2 linked regions of the Caenorhabditis elegans genome follow. The protein of the gene in region 1 purifies or fractionates together with the protein of each later gene. This does not show direct contact. Each region holds a gene or a part of one and is shown in the gene's direction. Other genes may lie near its edges.

Evidence for each region. Proteins that work in one complex are often made in the same cells at the same time.
Region 2: the proteins of hxk-2 (region 1) and far-6 fractionate together in Caenorhabditis elegans (co-fractionation; one large-scale study listed by BioGRID). This does not show direct contact.

What each region holds. Positions count from the first base shown.
Region 1 is NC_003279.8:11,319,728-11,325,040, reverse strand, and holds the start of hxk-2 (Phosphotransferase), read left to right. Parts: upstream 1-1,930; 5' UTR 1,931-1,948; coding exon 1,949-1,983; intron 1,984-2,057; coding exon 2,058-2,160; intron 2,161-2,669; coding exon 2,670-2,829; intron 2,830-3,567; coding exon 3,568-3,710; intron 3,711-4,941; coding exon 4,942-5,075; intron 5,076-5,144; coding exon 5,145-5,299; intron 5,300-5,313. Other genes in the region: cdk-9 (putative cyclin-dependent kinase 9), read right to left, coding at 122-169, 1,460-1,509.
Region 2 is NC_003282.8:13,326,484-13,330,223, forward strand, and holds far-6 (Fatty-acid and retinol-binding protein 1), read left to right. Parts: upstream 1-1,875; 5' UTR 1,876-1,877; coding exon 1,878-2,388; intron 2,389-2,436; coding exon 2,437-2,480; 3' UTR 2,481-2,831; downstream 2,832-3,740. Other genes in the region: pqn-74 (Chitin-binding type-2 domain-containing protein), read right to left, coding at 3,300-3,344, 3,501-3,740.

The sequences.
Region 1 (5,313 bases):
AGATAAATGGCCGCTGAAACTTGTCGGCTCCTCGGCCATGGCCTAGAAACCACTTTTCCTCGTCCCTCGTGAGGAAAAAGTTGCAGTGGAAAATATCGACTTTCCATCCTAAATTCCGTACCTTTTCGGCGGCTCCTGAGCATGCTCGGTGTTCGGCCGCTTCGGAGGTCTGGACATGAAAAAATGCGGTTTTTTGGGTGGAAATGAGTACTTTTTAGGGGATTTGTCATCAAAATCGTGGATTTTTCGGTTTTTTGGGGTGTTTTTCACGTTAAAATCACGAATTTTGAGTGAATTTTCATTATTTTTGCCGAAAAAAATCCAGTGGAAATTAGTGTTAAAAAGGTGTTTTTTACGTAAAAATATTGATTTTTCGGGGAAAAATCACTCTAAAATTGCTTTAAAATGAGTAAAAATAGGTGAAAAATCGGTTTTTTTCGGACGAAAACTTTTTAGTACAAAAAAATGAACATGTTGGAAAAAACAGCGATTTTCAGTAGTTTTCACATGAAAATATCGATTTTTCGGAGTGATTTTGAGGTAATTTTCAGCGAAAAACCCTCTAAAATTGCTTAAAATCGATAAATATCTGCTCAGAAAGATGGAAAACCCGGTTTTTAGTGAAAATTTAGGTTTAAATTTGGGTTTTTGGTGAAAAAAACAGGGATTTCCAGTGGAAATTAGTGTTCAAAAGGTGTCTTTTACGTAAAAATATCGATTTTTCGAGGGGAAAAATTGGAAATTTCAGTGAAAATTACCCAAAAATAGGTGAAAAACCGGGTTTCTTAGGGGAAAATCGAAAAAATTTGGATTTTTTAGTGAAAAAACACCCTAAACCTACTGAAAAAGTTGGAAAAACAGGGATTTTCCGTAGTTTTTCAACGAGAATATCGATTTTTATTGGGAAAAATGAGAAATTTCAGTGAAAATCACCCTAAAATTGCTTTAAAATGAGTAAAAATAGTTGAAAACCCCGGTTTTTTCGGGTGAAAATCGACTTTTTAGTGAAAAAAACAGCCTAAAAAACTGAAAGTTGGAAAAAACAGCGATTTTCACTATAGTTTTTTAATAGTTTTTCATATGAAAATATCGATTTTTCGGGGAAAATTTCGAAAATTTCAGCGGAAAACTCTCTAAAATTGCTTAAAATCGATAAATATCTGCTCAGAAAGGTGGAAAACTCGGTTTTTAGTGAAAATTTAGGTTTAAATTTGGATTTTTGGTGATATTTCAGTGGAAAATGCTGTTAAAATCGCTAATTTAATAAATTTCGGTGTGAAAATTCACTCAAAAACTGCCGAAAAATCAATTTTCTGCGAATTTTTTTTTGATTTTTTTGTTTTGCAAATCAAAATCGTGGATTTTTTAGTTATCTGGGGTGTTTTTCACGTTAAAATCACGAATTTCTAGTGAAAATCAACGAAAAACCGGGGGTTTTCTCGCTTAAAATCCAACGAACCTCTGTGTACTCGACTGGTGGAGGCCGGCGTGATAGTTTTGAGCACTCATTTGCTCTGAAAATTGTTAATTTTTGTGGAAAAAAACATTAAAAATTGCGAAAAAATTGCGAAAAAACCGAAAAAATAGAGGAAAATTGCAAAAAAAAACATTGAGAAATAGAGAAAAGGGGCGGAGTGGCTCAATTGCAATGCGGGCGCGCGATATTTGCAAACCGCCGCACACACTTGACATTTTCCGTATTTTATTTTATTTTGCAAAAAAAAAAGCATTTCTATCATCAATTTCGAAGGGTTTCGCCTGCGTCTCTTCGTCATGTTTTTCCTCGTCTTCTCGTCAAATCTTCACTCAAAAATATTGACAATTTGTGTGTGCCCCTGAAACCCGTGGTTTTTATTATTTTATTTTTCTTAAAAACAAATAAAAAATCTGTTTTCCCACTATTTTTTAATGTCAAAATTAACATTTTCAGCCCAAAAATCTACACAAAATGCTGGGTATCATCGAGCTCGGCATTCAATATCGGTATTTTTCACATTTTTCAATTTTTTCCGCCCGGGAAAAATCGATAAAATCGATAAAACCGCATTTTTCTTCAGGATATGGCGTTCACAAGCCCATGGAAAGGGAAAAAAGAGCCCGCGGACGCCGACGACTCCGCTGGCAAAAATGGCGTCGAAACTGAATGAAGAATCGATTTCGGTGGGAGATTTGGCGGAAAATTTCGGGAGAAAAACTGTTGAAAATGGCTTTTTAAGCATGAAAATCCTTATAATACACAATAAATTGGCATATTTCGCTGAAATTGTCGTAAAAAATAGTCGAAAAATGCAAAATTTCACTAAAAATCAGTCCATGGCCTAACTTTTCGAATTGGTGGTCTCGAAATCCGGCTAGGCCACCTTTTCAGAAAAATCTGATATTAACTTCATTTTCAATGTCCAAAAAAGTGAAAATCTTCGAAAATCACCGAAATTCGAATCGATGGCCTAACTTTCCGAATTGGTGGCCTAGAAATCCGGTTTTGGGTTTTCTAGGCCACCGTAAAATACAATTTGAGTATTTGCTGCTTTTTAACTCTAAAACCCGTTAAAAATATCAAAATTTGATCAAAAATCAGTCCGTGGCCTAACTTTTCCATTCGGTGGCCTAGAAACCCAAATTTCACGGCCACCAACCAATTTACCACCTAAAAATCGATATTTTTGCAGCTGGAATCCGTGATGGCCGAGTTTAAGCTGTCAAATACGACTCTCCGACGAATGATGTCCCATTTATCAGATAATATGGATCGAGGACTGGAATCCGGCTTGGAACGGTCCACAATTGCAATGTTACCATCTTTTGTGCCAGAATTGCCGAATGGAAAAGGTTTTTAATCGAAAAATCGAGAAAAAATGGCCTAAGAATGGGTTTTTACGGTCGTGGCCTAACTTTCCAGTTGGTGGCCTAGAAATCCAAATATACCATTTTCTAGGCCACCAAAGCAAGAATTTTCATAAAAATCACTGATTTTTCTCTTGAAAACGTAGAAAATTTGACTGAAAATTCAAAAAATCCGAAAAATTGGCTAAAAATTCGATTTTTCAATCCATGGCCTAGCTTTTGGTGGCCTAGAAATCCAAACCCATCATTTTCTAGGCCACCTACACAAAACTCATTCATTTCCCCCGAATTTTCAAGAAAATTCCATGTTCTGCTGAAAAAACGTTGATTTTCATATTTTCAGCCTATGGCCTAATTTTTGGTGGCCTAGAAATCCCAGGCCTCCATTTTCTAGGCCACCATCACCAAAAGCAGCAATTTTGCGCCAAATTTTCACGAAAATTTCATGTTCTACTGAAAAAATCGTAAATTTCAATGAATTCACACCATGGCCTAACTTTAGGTAGCCTAGAAATCCAAAACTAGCTTTTTCTAGGCCACCTACTCATTTTCCACCAGATTTTTACCAAGAACTCCATTCTTGCGGCAAAACAACAACTGTCATACTATGGCCTAACTTTAGGTGGCCTAGAAATCCCAGTTCACCATTTTCTAAGCCACCTACACCAAAATCAGCCACTTTCCGCCGAATTTTCAGTAAAAATCAATGATTTTCTTTTGCAGAACGTGGAAAATTCGTTGCAATGGACCTCGGAGGCACAAATCTACGTGTAATGTTGATGGAACTGGAGCCCGGTGAGCCGATGAGAACTAAACAATTTAATACAAGAATGCCAAATGCCGCAATGCATGGAACCGGACAAAAAGTACGAGGAAATCGGGATTTTTAGCCTGAAAACGCGCTGAAAAACTGGAAAAAAAGCGATAAAAGTTGAAGAAATTGCCACTGAAATTTGAAGAAAACCATGAAAATTGGGAATTTTCGTGAAAAAAGCAGAAAAAAAGCTATGAAAAACTTGAAAATTGGGGATTTTCAGCATGAAAACCTGGAAAATTTTGGTTTTTTACCCTAAAAAATCCGAGAAATTGACATTTTCAGCCTGAAACCCCTGAAATTTCATAAATTTCAGAGGGATAAAACTGAAAAATTGCGTATTTTAGCTTGAAAAAACCGAAAAATTCCGGTTTTCAAACCCAAAAAACTGAGAAATTGTGATTTTCAGCCTCAAAATCTGAGAAATTTTGGTTTTTTCTCATAAAAAAACCTGAAAATTCCGCGATTTTCAGCCGGAAAAACCGGAAAAATTGCGTGTTTTAGCTTGAAAATTGGAAAATTTCGTGATTTTCAGCCTGAAAACCTGAAAATTCCTTGTTTTCGACCTCAAAAATCTAAAAATTCGAAGTTTTCAGCCAAAAAAACTGGAAATTTTTGGTTTTTTAACTTAAAAAATCTCAAAATTTCGTGATTTTCAGTCTAAAAACCGGAAAATTCTAGTTTTTTAACCTAAAAAATCTGAGAAATTTCATGTTTTCCAGCCTGAAAAGTCCGAGAAATTGGACTTTTTAAGCGTAAAAACCTGAAAATTCCGTAATTTTCAGCCTGAAAACCTTAAAATATGGTGATTTTCAGCCTAAAACCCTGAGATTTTATAAGTTTTAGCCGGAAAACCTGGAAATTTCCTAATTTTCAGCCTGAAGCCCCCCACCGGAAAATTTTAGTTTTTTAGCCTAAAAAGTCTGAGAAATTGGACTTTTTACGCGTAAAAAGCTGAAAATTTCGCGATTTTCAATAAGAAAACCCTGAAATTTCATAAATTTCAGCCGGAAAACCCGGAAAATTTGGTGGTTTTCATACAGAAAAACCTGAAAATGTCTTGTTTTCGACCTCAAAAATCTAAAAATTCGAGATTTTCAGCCTGAAAACTGGGGAAAAGTTTGCATTTTAAGCCGGAAAACCTTTTAATTTTTTAATTTTTCGCATGAAAAACTAATTTTTTCCCGCTTTTCACTGAATTTTCACCTAAAAATTTTAAAAAAATCGCTAAAATTAGCCTAAATTTCCTGATTTTCCAGAAAATTCCAAAAAAATGTTTTCAGCTTTTCGACTACATTGCCAAAGCTCTGTGCGATTTTCTTGTCGAACGTGAGCTCGCCGATGAGCATTTGCCTGTTGGATTCACTTTCTCGTATCCCTGCGATCAAACCGGGCTCCGATCGGCCACGCTGCTCAGGTACAGTAACCCACAAATCGCGTGGTGGGACCCAAAAATTCAACAAAAAAAAAGAGGGCATTTTCACAGATGGACAAAAGGAGTAACAGCGACAGGATGCGTGGGCGAAGACGTCGTACAACTGTTAGAAGATGCGATTGCACGTGATGGACGTGTTAAAGTGAATATAGTTGCATTGATTAATGATACAGTTGGTACAATGGTTGCAGCTGCATATGAAGCTGGTTTGTAACCTTTT
Region 2 (3,740 bases), on another chromosome or scaffold:
ATTTCCGGCAAATCGACAAACCGGCAAATTTCTGATTTGCCGATTTGCCGAGTTTGCCGAAAGAAAGCAATTTGCCGAAAACTTTCGTCAAATTGTGGTTTCGCACTTTTTTTTTTGGAAATTTCAGAATTTCAATTTCAAATGGCAAAATTGCACGCATCCTATGAATGTTCCTACATCTATTTTGAAAAGTAAGCAAATTCTTTGAAAATATGTAGAAATACTGAAAAAATTCGTAAAGACACAGTTTTAAGTGTTTCCGTCTTATAAAAAATCCCTCTAAACATTTCCGGCAAATCTGATATCCGGCAAACGGCGAATCGGCAATTTACCGTAAATGAAAATTTCCGGCAAATTGGCAAACCGGGAAATTGCCAGAATTGAAAATTTCCGGCAAATCGGCAAACTGCAAATTTACCGATTTGCCGAATTTGCCGAACGGCAATTGCCGATCACCCCCTGATTTACACCAGGGCTGCCGGTTTGTCGGTTTTTCGAAACTATCGAAATATCGAAAATTTTCGTTTTTCGGTTCTCCAATTTTTCGACTTTTCGATTTTTCGGTTTTGCTAAAAAAAATGCATCTGAATTCACTCGAAATTGCAAAAAATGGTGGTAGGCACGCACGTATTCAAGATATTTTTTCCTGATTTTTTGACACTACAAATTCTTGCCCTTAGTTCAAAGTTTCACTTTATTGAACTGAAAGCAAAGTTCCAATAAACCGATTATCAGTCCTTCCACTTGACACGTAAAACATGCAATATTTGACACTGATAATGTCAAACGGAATTCCAAAAAAAATGATAGATAAAAAATTTGATTGATATGCATTAAAACAATGCCTAATAGTTAGAAAAAAGTCAGATAAAGAGTTGGTAGGGACGGGACGATTCAGAAATAAATCAATTTTGAATTGACGGAATTTCTTTAGCCAAGACTCGCCTAATCATATTTCCGAAACCGATCAAAATGTTTTGTTCCAGTATTCTGAAAATGACTGCGAACTCATTTTTTCAAGAAGTTCAAGAAAAAGAGGTTCTCTTTTGTTTTTTTTTGTTAATTTAGGTACATTTTAAGTCATTGGAGATATTTCACAGAGACTATATTTTCAGGTATTTGTACTAAATGAGAAACTGGATCAGCTTAAACCCGATGCACTGTTGTAAATGCAACTATTAAGGTCAGTCATGGTAATCTCCGTAATTCTGTTTTACAGGTCACAGCTCGGTTTCTGTGGGCTCATTGTAGGGATTCAAACATGCGCTATAGTTTTCTCAAAAAGTGGCAAAAACTTAGTAATTGCCACTTTTTGACTATCAATTAAAATTTTTTCCAACCAAATTTTAAAAAGCTTTACAATGATATTGTTGCATTTTGGCACCACACAGATTTAGGTTCAAAAAGAAAACCCTAAACTTCATTACACTAAAAGTAGTTTTCTTAATAATAGAAATCCAGGGAAAGTGAGTCATGTGTCTCGAAGGGAACGTGACATTTCATTGGAACTCTCGGTTCGGTACACTATTTCGTTAACGATGGGTCATCCAAGGTCGTATAAAAACATGGCCGGCGGAGCAGGAGCTGCACAGCAGAAGCGGCGCCGAGCTTTCTTTTCTTTAAGTTCTGCCGTTTTTTTCTCATTTTTCTCATCTATTTTTCTTTTAGAAATATAAATTATAAAACAACATACAGTAGACATGAAAAAAAACTTTTATGGGTCTTTTTTTGAACTGTTGACTTTGTGAAAAAAATGGCCTGAAAGCATTTTCACATCTACAGTGCCGGCCAATATTCTATTCGCTTTCCGTGATTTTATGATATCCAGACTATTTCAATTAAAAGTGGCAACCTATATAATTTAAAATGTTATAGCAATGATCCGCATCTTCCTTGTCATAGCACTTGCCTCCGTCGCTGTCTTTTCTGCTCCAATTTCACGCTTACCACAAAGCTTAGACGACATCCCAGCTGAGTTCAAGGAACTCATCCCAGCTAAAGTTACTGAATACCTTAAATCCATCACTACTGAGGAGAAAGCTGCTATTAAGGAATTTATCAAAAGTGTTATGGGAGGAAACAAATCTGTTGAAGAATTGAGTGCTGATATCAAGGAGCGGTCCCCATCCCTGTACGCTAAGGTTGAAAAACTCGACGTCCTACTCCGCACAAAACTCGCGAAACTCGACCCCGCCGCTCTGGCTTTATTCGGGAAAGTCATCGCTCAGGGACTTTCTTTCCGGCAACAGTTCCATGCCGGATACCAGCCAACTCCTGAGATGGTAAAGAAACTCTTCAAGGGATACATTGCTGAATATAAAACACTTTCTGAAAACGCCAAGGCCACCATCACCGATGAGTTCCCCATCGTCGTTGAATTCTTTCAACGTGAGTTTTTAAAATTTGAAATAAGATTAAACATTCGGTTATTTTCAGACGAGAAAATTCAAGCCATCATCCAACAGATCGTGAACTACTAAATTGTTTTTTTTTCAATTATTTTACCAAAATAAGCTTGTTGTCATTTAAAAATAAGTACCTTTGAAATTAGGTGTTTTCATGAAACAAGGTACACTAAGAAAATTATCTCCACAAAGTTTTTTACATTTTGCAATTTGCACTTCCTATAATTGCTTAAGTACTCCACTAAAAAACCAATAACAATTTAAATGTTTATTAAATGTATTTCGAAATTTGAGATTCATATGAAATACAAACAAATTGCAAAAAGTAGAAAACTGCGAAAATTATTTTCTTATTAAACTTTGTTTTATGAAAACACCAAGCGTTTAGATACTTGGAAATTCTAATAAAAAAACCGACCCGCCTGATGTCAGCTGCTGTAGCTTTTTTTCTGGAACAGAGTTGTATAATTTTGAAAAATCCAAAGTGTAGAAAAAGTTTTCGTCAATACTTTGTTAGTTGAAAACATTTTTCCAATAAGCAAAGTATTTGAGTTTAAAATATTTGAACAAACCATTAAAATCACTGCAAATCCGGGGTATCAGACAAAAACCAGAAAAGTATTGAAAATATATATTTATTGAAGTACCATCATAAGTTATATAATAGTTATCATTGGAGAGAAAACCCTAGACATTGGACAATTCGGAATACAAATAAGGATTGGGGATTTGGGGGAAGACGGGGGAAAAGTGAGGGCAAACTAGGCGGTACAATTATGGTTGTCTATGCGTATCCGTTTCATGATTGTTGTTTTCTTCACGGTATATACAAAAAGGCGAGAAGATTGTAGCAGTTTTTGGTTCGATGATGATGTGTGTGAGATGTTCGATCGATTAGAAACGACGGGCCTTCTTGCGGAAGTAGCAGCAAACCATGCACTGAAAGAGTGTTCGTTTGCTTATGATCTATTCGAGCCTCCCTCCCCATTCTTACACACCCCCGTCCCTATTGTAATCGTCTCAATTGCCACACACAAGAACGGAAACCGGTTGAATTGGTTGCCGATCTCTTGCTTCTAGACACTACTCTCTTACCTGTTGTCCGGCATTTTGTCCGACTTGGCAGACCGATTGTCCTGGGCACTGGTAGTTTTGGTTGCATGATCCGATTTGAACTCCTCCGGTGCATCCGCATTGAGCGTTCTGTGGAGCCTGGGTGGAGACGTATGGGGCTGGAGTTGGAAGAGTTCCTGGCTGGCTGTTGGTGTCCCAGACGCAGACTTGGGATTGGACGTCGAAGACGGTTCCTGGGGCACATGGCATACGTTGCCATCT